Yarrowia lipolytica: one gene and its partners. The protein of the gene in region 1 interacts with the protein of each later gene in a pairwise test. Links are inferred from orthologs where the notes say so. Each region holds a gene or a part of one and is shown in the gene's direction. Other genes may lie near its edges.

Region 1 (4,353 bases):
TATCACTGTTTTGGCTCCGTCCAACATTCTGGATCTCGTTCAGATTCTGGTTCGAACCAAGCAGGGTATTGAGGGAGCCTATGAGGAAGAAGTCGGGGCTTCCAACGAAGAAACTCCCTCCAAGGAGAAGAAAGTTGGCCGGCCTCATCTTCTCACGTCTGTGGACGTTTCCATCAACTCTGGAACGCTGCAGGTCTACCCCAGCACTCTTCTCGATACTCAGGTCCTCTACGTCAATCTGTCTGGAACACATGCCAAGTTTGTTTGTGACACCCAGAAGCGTGGCCTCGTCAAGTCGCACCTGGAGCTGGGTATGCACGAGTTTATCATTGCTCTGAGTACTTTCAAGACCCAGATCAACGAGGAGGATCTGTTGACACTCACTGTGGACGAGTTTGTGGCTCATACTCGCAGAGCCAAGGGAGGCACCATTGTGCGGATCCCCAAGGTCGACATCAACATGCACACATGGCAGTACGACACCAACCCTACTGAGGTCAAGTTCACATACTCGTCCGAATTCGCCGGCAAAGTGGACATTGGCTGGAACTTTGGCTCAGTCACCTTCATCCGAGAAATGTGGAACTCGCACGCCAAGGCCTTTGCCAGCCGAAGAGAGGCCTACAAGCTCAACTTTGTGGCCAACCCGTCGGTGCTCAAGGATGGCGAGCTGGAGGAGAAGCTCAAGGATGTGGCTCTGGATGAAAAGTACGTCTATGTGGCGTTGGAGCCTCCCAACATTGAGATTCCCCAGCTGCGAGATATGGGCGAAGCCACTCCTCCCATTGAGTGGATTGGTCTGCATCGACAGCGGTTCCCCGGTCTGACTCATCAGGTGGTGATTGTGGGTCTTCAGGGCTTGGTCAAGGAGGTTGAAGTTGCATACTTTACAGTTCTTGGAGCGTAATGACGGCGATATAATGGAGTTTGAGGAGGAAGAAGAGAAAGATATGAGCGGCTGAGTGTGGGGGACAAAAAGGAGGACAATTTATTTATTTATATTATTTTATTATTTCAATTTGGGGTGCTCCGGCACACATGCAGTACATACTCGTACTCGATCTTGGATCAGTGGTGTGTGGCTAGACCATTCATAAATCACTACAGGACAGCCTTGTGTATCACGCGGTGCATCATCTGTTTCTGGACCCTTCTGGACCCTTCTGTTTGTTTCTTCTGTCTCACTCCATCCAACTTCCACACATCGACGATGCAGAAATCAGGCGTGGAAAACAGAAGTTTGGATCGGTGATGGTGTGGAGTTGTAGGGAGGATGGAGTTGTAGGAGGATGAAGGGCGTGGATGAGTACTTGAATCTCGTTTGAATCTCGTTTGTTTCTATGCAAAATGTGTCAAGATAAGATGATTAGTCGTGTAGAAGAGGAGCCAACTAATAGATAAGTATTTCGTTCCAAAGGTAATCATTTTCCAAGTGTAACGCTAACTAATGATTGAAGGGATGGGGTTTTATGATGGAGTTTTAAAGACATTTTTGGAGATGAATTGTGCCAAAAAGAAACATTTGCTAAGAATATGTTTGCGGTCTATCGCTTTATTCATCTACAATTTCTCTAGCATCTTTAGAACACCGAATATGAACCCCCAGCATGCTTTTGCTCTTAACAAAATGTCAAGTAAAGAAGACTTTTCCAGGAAAGGACGTGAGTTCTGAAAATGGGCAGAAAAAAAGTAGCACAGACACAAAAAGTGGACCTTAAAAGACATCCAAGCCCTAATACCCCAAGCATCTGCTTCTACTCGGTCTACTCCCTGGGTTGTATGGTTGCCACCAGACCTGCCTGGGTTACCCTACCCGATGTGAAGCTTGTCCTTCTTCACCTGCAGCGTACTTACTCAGCACTCACTGGTTTGAACTGTACACACACCACATCACCACCCTCCAACCGTCTGTTTCAGCATGAATAACAGCGTGGAGGAGTTTTTGGCGCAGACGCAGCGCGGGCTGGACACGCAACAGCCGCCGCGACCTCGTTCCCACGACTCGCGCGACACCGAACGAGATGTCCGAGATCGAGAACGAGAGCGGGACCGGGACTTCAGAGACCGAGACCGTGAGCGAGACCGCGAGCGGGACCGGTACCGTAACCAGCGGTGGCGTCGACGGGACGACTCGGTGGACCGTGAGCGGGAGCGAGAACGACACAGAGATCGAGATTATCGAGATCGCGGCGATCGAGGAGATCGAAGGGACAGATACAGCAGAGATGGAGGTAGAGACCGACGGGACCGACGGGACGACGATCGCACACGTGACAGACCACGTGATCGAGACAGAGACAGAGACAGAGACAGAGACAGAGACAGAGACAGAGATAGGGATAGGGATAGGGATAGGGATAGAGACAGAGGAGACAGAGAACGGGCACGTGACCGAACCCGCGAACGAGATCGAGACGTTTCGATCGACGATAGCGTGGTGCCTCTCGACGAGCGTCCATTGTCTGCTCCCACGGGCTGGGATGTCAAGGCTCGAGGATATGAGCGGGTCAGTTCTGAGCTGGCCAAACGATCGGGTCTGTTTCCGTTACCGGGACGTCCCACCCAAGTCAACTATAATGTGTTGAGGGGACTGGTGGAAGGTCTGCCTGATCAGCCCACGGACCACGAGACGGCAGCAATGATGCCTCTGGTGGACACGGGACCCATCAACAACGGTAAGGGATCTGTTCGACCTGAGTTTTCACGGGTGGCGCGAAGACTGATTCTGAGTGGTATTCCTGCCGATCAGATCGACACGGTGGCCATCAAGAGCTTCTTCACAGACTTCATCGAGGGTCTGGAGCTGCAGGGATCCAAGGAACGGATTGTGGACGGAGTTTACAAGCATCCTCGTCTCCCCGAGGTGTTAGTGGAGTTCTTTTCTGCGGAAATGGCAACCTTAGCCCTGGCTCTGTCTGGTCTAGGTATCAATTACTCGGGACCCCCCATTAGTATACGACGACCGTCCAACTACATTTGTCCTACGCCAGAGAGAAGCGAAGTTTCAAGAAGATCGCTGGACGAGGAGAAGGAGGTGGCTTCTGTGGTGGAGGACTCCAACACGAAAATCATTGTGTGGGATATTCCGTTCAACGTAGAAGAGGACCAGGTGCGACAGCTGACAGCATCGTTCGGTGAGCTTTCTGCATTCCAGCTCATTCGACAGCTGCCGTCTCGGGAGTCGGCGGGCATTGCTCTGGTGGACTACAAGGACCCCGAGGTGGTCAAGGACGCCGTTTCAGGGCTGTCAGGACAGGTGATTGGTGGAAAGAACCTCAAGGTAATGCTAGCATGTGAAGGACCCACGCAGTTGTCGTGTTCGTCCAACAACGGGTTGAAGGGAATTGTGACGGTCATGAATGACGTCAAGAGCCGGCCGGAGTCGTCGGTCATTGTTCTGTTCAACCTGGTGACTCTGGACGAGCTGCTGGATGATGTGGCCTACAGAGAAATCACCGAGCAGGTCGAGTCCGAGTGTCTCAAATATGGAGGAGGAGAAGAGGTCCAAATCAAGATCCCACGACCTGACCCCGAGGCCATGAAGGCGTCGTATCGACGGCTAATCTTTGAGACTCGTCCAGGTGTGGGAAAGGTTTACGTCAAGTTTGCCAGTGTGGAAACGAGTCGAGTGGCGATGCAGAAGTTGACGGGCCTGCGGTTTAGCAGGAGAAGTGTCATTGCGAGTTATTACTCGGAGGAGTGTTTTGACATGAATGTGTTTTAGATAGTTGAGCGCAACGGAGAGACACTTGTTCCAGGACTCTCAATCGGAGCAGTGGAGTGCGAACGAGCTAGACATTGTGACGCTCTCTACTCTGATATGAAGGTTCATCTATCATTATTGTGTTTGTCATCATGGATTTTGGCTGGATTGGATATAATGATACCGAGTTTCCTTCGGGGTTATAGGTCTTTACATTAATTGTACATTTGAATAGTTGGATTTTTGTATAAGGGTATGAGCAGCAAGAAAGCAATTTGTAGAAAAATGAGTAGGAAGAGCGCGATTTTCACATTGTCGCAGTTCTGAACACTCGTGGAATGTCAAACAAATAATTAAAAAATAAAATAAAAACAAATAAAAATAAAAATAAAAATAAATCTTAGATTATTGTGTTTTTTATTTAATTTTTTTTATTATAACATTAATACATTAAACTCTATATTTAATAAGACAAGTACTTGTACTGTAGGTAAACCGCTGAATGTGATCGACGGATTAACTCTGACCCAGCTCTCTCTTAAAATAATGCGATTAAAAAATAAAAATGAAAATAAATAAATAAATAAAGATCAATAAATTAAGATAAATAAAATAAAGATCAATAAATAAAGATAAATAAATAAAAAGAC
Region 2 (3,600 bases), on another chromosome or scaffold:
CTTGGGCTCCTCCTTGACGTCCTCCTTAGGCTCCTCCTTGACATCCTCCTTGGCCACCTCTTCGTCGTCATCCTTCAGGAACCGGAACACGTCGCTGTAGATGGAGTAGTTGGTGCCGCTCTTGCTTTCGAGAACAACGGACTGCACAAACTTCTGAGGCACGCCATCGTCGGTGGACGACATCTGGCCGATGATCTGGATCAGAATGGACTTGTTGGGGCCCTCCATGGCGTCCAGGCACGAGATGAGCGTCTTGCAGCCCTTGGTGTGCAGCTGGCTAATCCGCTCCTGGATGCTCTCTGTGCCAGAGATCGCGGCGGTGTCGTCCTGCTCCTTGCCGTGCAGCAGCTTCGCATCGACGTCGTAAAAGTGGTGCAGCTCGCTGGGGTCCGAGTGCAGTCGCTTAAAGTACTGCGACACAAACAGCCATGCAATCTGTTCAGCGGTGGGGGACATCTGGGTTAGCGAGGTGAAGAAAAGTGCAAGTGCGGATCGCAGGCGAGGTCGTAAGACGGGAAAAAGACACTATTGCTCGTCAGACTGGGTGCAAGAGACCAGCTTTTGTGTATGACAGCAGCAGATCTGTAGTGGAGATGCAGTATTGGGATCACAGATGTGGGTCTGTCGCCAGCTCACTAGCGATATGATGATGTCTGCGGTGATCTGTCGAGTGCTGTCTGTTGGATGCTGTACGTTGAGTGTTGCCTGACGAGCACTATCCGCTAATGACGTGTCTTCTCTTTGACCTGTGAGTTGCTGTATCTTTTCTCTCTGCAGTCAGCCTGACAACTGCGTATGCGTGTATTCGTGGGACTGGCGGTAGGTGGGAGACCAAGATGGTCTGTAATGAACTGAATCAACACCCGAAAGGGCCAAATGAACACGTATGACAGCCCTAAATCAGCACCAACAGATCCGGTGGCCAACATTCACTGAATTCATGTCAGCATTAGTCACATCAAAGTCACCACATAGTCACAGCAACAACATCATGATAGAACACACACAGTCAACAGCAGACAGAAGCAGCAAACAGCTCCAGCAACCAGCCAACAGCTCCATCCACCAGCCAACAACATAACCTGCGTCTCTCACCGCTCTCGTCGTCCTACCACCGTGTCTGTGCCTCACTCTCTGCCGCTCTCTACCTCCTCACATTGGGGACATTTCATCGTTGTTGATCCAAACACAAAGAGGCAGAAAAGAGCGAAATCAACACACACAGACCGACACCGGAGACGTCACGTGGCCCATCTCCGAGCGCGGTGCCGCGCCATACTCACCGTAAAACGGATGTGATCAAAGACTAGGGTTGAGGGTCTTGAGGTGAAAGAAAAGCACTTTCATCAGGCGAACTTAAAACTACGGCTGACTAAGGTGGGTGGGTGAGTATGGGTTAGGTTAAGAGTGGTGGTGGAAAATTGTTCACCAGTTCGATTTTCCGCCATTTCAATGAATTTTTTGTTTTAATATTTCTTTTCGTTTTCCCAGATCAGTTCAATTCACCTGGAAATGAGCACAAAATAGTCTGGCTTTTGGTTGTTGCTTTAGGCTGAATGAAATAAATTTATAAAAATTAAAAATTTAAAAATTAAAAATTAAAAATGTATTTTTAAAAAAAACCACAAAAGAAATAAAGAAATAAAAAAATACCAAAGGTCAATAAAAATGGAGAAAAATACAAATATACAAAAATACAAATACATCAATTCATTAAATCAAGGATTTTTTTTTGTTTTTTCATTTAATTTTTTTCCCAAATCAATTCATATCTCTTAATCTGAAACCTAAAATCGCCCACCAATATGGAATTCCAAGCTCGACAATTACACGATACTAATTCACTCCAACATGTCAGACAACCAATTGGCGGAAATCGCGGCAATTGCCCCGTTACCGCCCGCCGGTGGAGACCCCGATCACGTGACATACTCGACGATCAAGGGCACGTATCTGTATGAGAAGGAGGAAGATGGGACCATGTTCGAGTTTGACCATGTGACTAGAGGCTGGCGGTTGATAGAGGAGGAGGAGGAGGACAAGGAGGAGGAGGTGGAGGATAAGGGAGACGAGTTGGAAGCGGCTCTGGTTGCTGGGGAGACGACGGACACAACTGCGACTGCGAAGGCGGAACCGAGTGGGAGGGATACGGGCAAAAACCAGCCGGTTTCGGACAAGAAGGCGGTTCAGGAGCAGCTCAAAAAGAGGCGCAAAGAGGTAATTGAGGAGCGACGGAATGCGAAAAAGGCTCAGCAGAAGGGCGACAAGCCTCCTCAGAAGGCCATCTATGTCAGTGGGCTTCCTTCAACTGCTACCAACGATGAGCTGGTGGACATTTTCCAAAAGTACGGAGTGTTGGCCGAAGATGTTTACACTGGCAAGAAGAAGGCTCGGGTTTATGTCGATGAGCAGGGCAAGGGCAAGGGCGACGGTCTGGTGGTTTTTTTCAAGCCCGAAAGCGTGAAATTGGCGGTGGATATGCTGCACAATCAGCCAGTTTACGTTGGCGACACAATGGTCACTCTGAATGTCCAGCCGGCAGTTTTCGACAAGGAAAAGGGCAGTAGCGACAATAAGAAGCAAGAGACGAATTCCGGTCCCAATTACTCCGAAGAAGCCAAGGCCAAGGCCAAGAGGAAGTACACTCAATTGCAGCAAAGGCTCAACGATTGGGATGAGGAGGAGGTCAAACGAGTCAAGACGGAGTCTCGTGAAAAGTCGTCCAAGGTGGTCACTCTCAAACGGGTATTTACCATTCAGGAGCTCCAGGATGACGTGGATGCCGAAATGGACATCAAGGAAGATATTTATAACGGTTGTGGAGCTATCGGAACAGTCACAAACGTGACTTTATACGACCTGGAGCCCGACGGAGTGGTGACCGTCAAGTTTGAAAGAGCTTCCGATGCCGCGGAGTGCGTGGAGAAGATGAACGGTCGCTTCTTTGGTGGCCAGAAACTCGAGGCATACATTGATTATGACGAGACCAAGTGGAGAAAGACTAAGGATCGGGGAGGTGATGAGGAAGATGAGGAGAGGCTGGAGAGGTTTGGAGAGTGGCTGGAGGGCGAGTAGTATAGTATGTACTCTGTTAGATACACTTGGTCTCCATCTCGCCATAAGTGCGTGTATACTAATCATATAGATCGACAAATGGACAAGTTGAGTTCAATAGGGTATGACGCGCGAAGCCGAATCAATTACTTAACGTTAGTTTTTTGTATTTTTTTTATTTTATTTGTTATAACATAATAATATTGAAACGTCGATATTTTGTTTAAATAGTTACCATATTTACAAAATTGTTAAAATCATTGTTAAGATTCTGTATCCCAGGGTTTAGATATTGTTACAGTATCTGGAGAAGAACAAAGTAAACCTATGAAGCACGAATTTGTCATTGTATCCTGTCAAATATGACTTGAAGCAGCCTTCATATTGTCAGCTACTGGTGCAGTTTTGGATGTCTCCGAGAATGATTGAGTAGTGTTCCATTTCGACGCAGATTTAAACTGGAGGTTCTAATCGGCTTTATGAAATAGATAGAAAACAAGTGTTACAACGGCAATAACTTCAAAAGCCAGGCCAATATTTCCAGGC
Region 3 (3,416 bases), on another chromosome or scaffold:
AAGGGAGCGGTCGTAGGTCAAGAGCGGATAACACCCCACTGAGTGCATTCGGTACTTGTAGACGCATTGTTAGTGATCGTAGATTGTAGACAACACAGTATCGCACAAGTATGTACTTAATGAACTCTTATTCGTAATTAGATGTGTATAAATAATCTATAGGTCCATGGCTACTGTATGTTTACAACCATCGTTATGGCTTCACCACCTTGTATTCCTTCTTCTTCTTGTCCTTCTTGTCCTTCTTGTCCTTCTTGATCTTCCTAAGGCCATGTGTAAGTCCTTCTTCAGTCAACCTATCCAATCTCGCCTTGGCAGCCAGCTTATCCTCTTCTCTGATGGGATTGATAAGTACGAGGTTCTTGTCCGAAAATGGGACACTTGTCTGGGGACATTCTTTGAACTCCTTGATGGCGGATTCCGAGTACACCCAGCCTGACTCTGCCACGTAGACAAACCGGTAGGTGAGAGCCTTGACTTCCCGTTGAGACAAAGGGCAGATCCAATCTCCGTCCTTGGAGGTTTCAAAGTGCAGTTCAACAATGTCTTTGACACTCTGGATGTGGGGGATGACTTGGGCAGCCACAGACGACTCGTCCTTGTCCAGTAGCCACTCGAGAACCGCATCTTTGTTGTACAATCGGCCCTTGTAGTCGCTGACGATAGGTTGTTGGAGCGACTTTTTGCTCACGGGGCAGTTTTTCCAGTCAAAATCGGCATTGTCCTGAGTGGCATCGAAGAGCTGGGAAGTGGTTAAGCCGTTTTGTTTGTCTTTAACCAGATCCCGGCGAGTGGGGATGGACCCTCCGTCATTCTGTGTTAACGCATGAACAGTAAGACAGCGGAGTTAGGGCAAATAGCGATGAAGAGGAGCCTGCGACGGGTCACTGTGATTGTGCAGTCTGGCAAAAACGGTGTTATGCAATCGAAGTAGGCCATGACCTTCAGAATCCAAGATCTCTGGAGGCAAGCAAACTGTTAAGAATATCCAGTATAGCACAACGACATATCACGTTTCGTATTCGAGTAACGAAGGGTTGCATGATATGAGTTCAAAGATGGTGTCTTTTAGTATTCAAGGTCATGGGCAAGATGGCCCACCACCTGAAGTAGTCTTTAGGAGGGCATCACGGATTGTAGAAGACAAAACACTGTACGATAATGAGTCCAAACAAAAGACACTTCATATTGACCATTGGCTGCTCTGATCTGGCATTGGTGACAATTAAACAATAACAGTTTTGGTAGAGACTCTCGTTCTGACACACATTGATTGTTGATGAAGTGTTTATTCCAGTGGCGATCTGTTCCCCAAGGTAACAATGAGAGGTTGAACAAGGTCTCTTCCCTTAGCCACTTGATACAGATCCTATCTGATCGCTGTAACAGCAACAGTCAAGGAGTCGCGAGGATGGACGTTTACATTCCACCTCCCTTCTCCCCGGCATACTCACTCCCATGTCGTTCTGAACTGTGAAAGTTCGTCTTTTTTAGATCGAGGATTTCGTGACATGCTTGCATGCCAGCAGCCATTTTTCATGCATGGTCATGTGACGTTCGCATCAAGTAATGGGCCGGCTGGATGGGTAGGAAATTGACGTTGGAAGACTCAAAAGTGGATGATATAACTCATGTAGTTACTCATGTACAATATTTCCCCTTGGCTGGCTCTTCACCGCCTTCGTTTTCAGTCCCTCTCTCCCAGTATGTGCGTACTCCATCCAGCTGCACATTACTTGGAACTTACTTAATACTCTCTGCCAGGTTTCTCAAATCTAACTTTTATCGCCACACATTATTCGCGTGTTCAACATGGCCAGCCACCTAGCTTCGATATACGGAACGGAAAACGACAAAGTGAACTGGTGAGTGTCAGAAAGGAGTTATTTGAGTGTTTTGAACCCCCGCGCGGGCTGGTGTTGGTGTTTTGGCCGATCGTTTGCTCGTTTAGACGGCTTGTGATGCATACCAGAGTGGTTGTCGAGAACATGGTGTGTGAGAGACGCAGATGTTTGCGGCCTGTTGGTGTCTGTGATAGTTGTTAGTCCAGCCAAGTGTTGGAAGACAGACTGTCTGTCTATCTATGACTTCTTATCGCTAGACATGTCACTACAGACGACAGTTGTCAGCTGCTGGATAGGACCACTACATCATGTTGTTGCACTGGTGATGCATAGAGAAGTTGATACGGATAGACACAGCAAGCCAAGGTGGGAAAAGCAAACGAGACGTACTTTGATATGTTGCTAGCTTGTTCTTGACTCCTTGAGCCCATCTGTTCTCCTGTGACGACTCTCAACCCGAGACCGTCAAACCCCCTACTACATACATACTAACCCAGCTCATTTTATTACAAAATCGGCGCGTGCCGTCACGGTGAAAAGTGTTCCCGAAAACACGTCAAGCCCACCTATTCCAACACAGTGCTGTGCTCGAACCTGTATCAAAACCCAGCTAATGGCGAATCAGATCCTCTCAATGAGGACGGATCGAAGATGACCAAGGCGGACCTCGACAAGCACTTTGCACTCTTCTACGAAGACATTTACATGGAGGCAGCCAAACTGGGACGCCTGGAGGAGATGATTGTGTGCGAAAACGGCAACGATCATCTCACGGGAAACACATATCTGCGGTTCCGGAACCAGGAGGATGCTCAGAGGGCATGCGACCTATTCAACACACGGTGGTATGCCGGACGGCCCGTTTGGTGCGAACTAAGTCCCGTCAACGACTTCACCGAGTCGTGTTGTCGCCAGCATGACACCAATGAGTGTTCGCGAGGCAACATGTGCAACTTCATGCATGCCAAACGGCCTCCACGACAGCTGGCAAAGGATCTGGACGCTTCTCAGCGGAAATTTTATAACCGTCAGAGGGACCGAAAGTCCAAGCGGTAGATTGGAAGTCGATTGTTGACTGATGTATTAATATATAATATATTTAATGAGCATAACAGTATTGGGATCAAGGAATTGGGGAGGAGAGATGCAAGTAGTTGTAGACCAGATGCTGTATAGCGTGTACTGAATTGTAATACCAGTCGCGTAGTACAAGTATGTGTATTATATATGTCCATTTTCACACTTGAAACGTTTCTATACTTGCACATGCCCTGTGTGATCCTAAGTATAAATCTAACTAAACTTCCAAGTAGAAACATTGATTTACTTGTTGTAATGTCACAGTACAAACGCCTCAAATACCGCCACTAAAGTAAATGGCACTTCTTTGATGAATCGAAACCATCAGCGGGCGTACTCTACCACATGAGAAACCCATCCGTTCTCCCAAATCCCCCACCAATCACCTAAACTTCTCCTAATATATATATATATATCTCTTTCCCTACAGATTCGCCTCCCAGCAGCACGTGACTCCAAACTAACTTCATCACCACAGTGGCAACATCCTTG

The links.
Region 2: the proteins of YALI1_E12402g (region 1) and YALI1_F01034g interact in a two-hybrid assay, tested with the Schizosaccharomyces pombe proteins (3 studies listed by BioGRID). The link is inferred for Yarrowia lipolytica from reciprocal best matches to the Schizosaccharomyces pombe genes prp2 and uap2.
Region 3: the proteins of YALI1_E12402g (region 1) and YALI1_F09345g interact in a two-hybrid assay, tested with the Schizosaccharomyces pombe proteins (7 studies listed by BioGRID). The link is inferred for Yarrowia lipolytica from reciprocal best matches to the Schizosaccharomyces pombe genes prp2 and uaf2.

What each region holds. Positions count from the first base shown.
Region 1 is NC_090774.1:1,238,315-1,242,667, forward strand, and holds YALI1_E12402g (uncharacterized protein), read left to right. Parts: upstream 1-1,918; coding exon 1,919-3,724; downstream 3,725-4,353. Other genes in the region: YALI1_E12295g (uncharacterized protein), read left to right, coding at 1-907; YALI1_E12421g (uncharacterized protein), read left to right, coding at 3,821-3,909. UniProt on the Schizosaccharomyces pombe protein: Necessary for the splicing of pre-mRNA. The SF1-U2AF59-U2AF23 complex has a role in the recognition of the branch site (5'-UACUAAC-3'), the pyrimidine tract and the 3'-splice site at the 3'-end of introns.
Region 2 is NC_090775.1:101,575-105,174, forward strand, and holds YALI1_F01034g (uncharacterized protein), read left to right. Parts: upstream 1-1,851; coding exon 1,852-3,075; downstream 3,076-3,600. Other genes in the region: YALI1_F01020g (uncharacterized protein), read right to left, coding at 1-456. UniProt on the Schizosaccharomyces pombe protein: Has a role in pre-mRNA splicing.
Region 3 is NC_090775.1:932,702-936,117, forward strand, and holds YALI1_F09345g (uncharacterized protein), read left to right. Parts: upstream 1-1,812; coding exon 1,813-1,865; intron 1,866-2,341; coding exon 2,342-2,900; downstream 2,901-3,416. Other genes in the region: YALI1_F09335g (uncharacterized protein), read right to left, coding at 194-814, 1,455-1,460.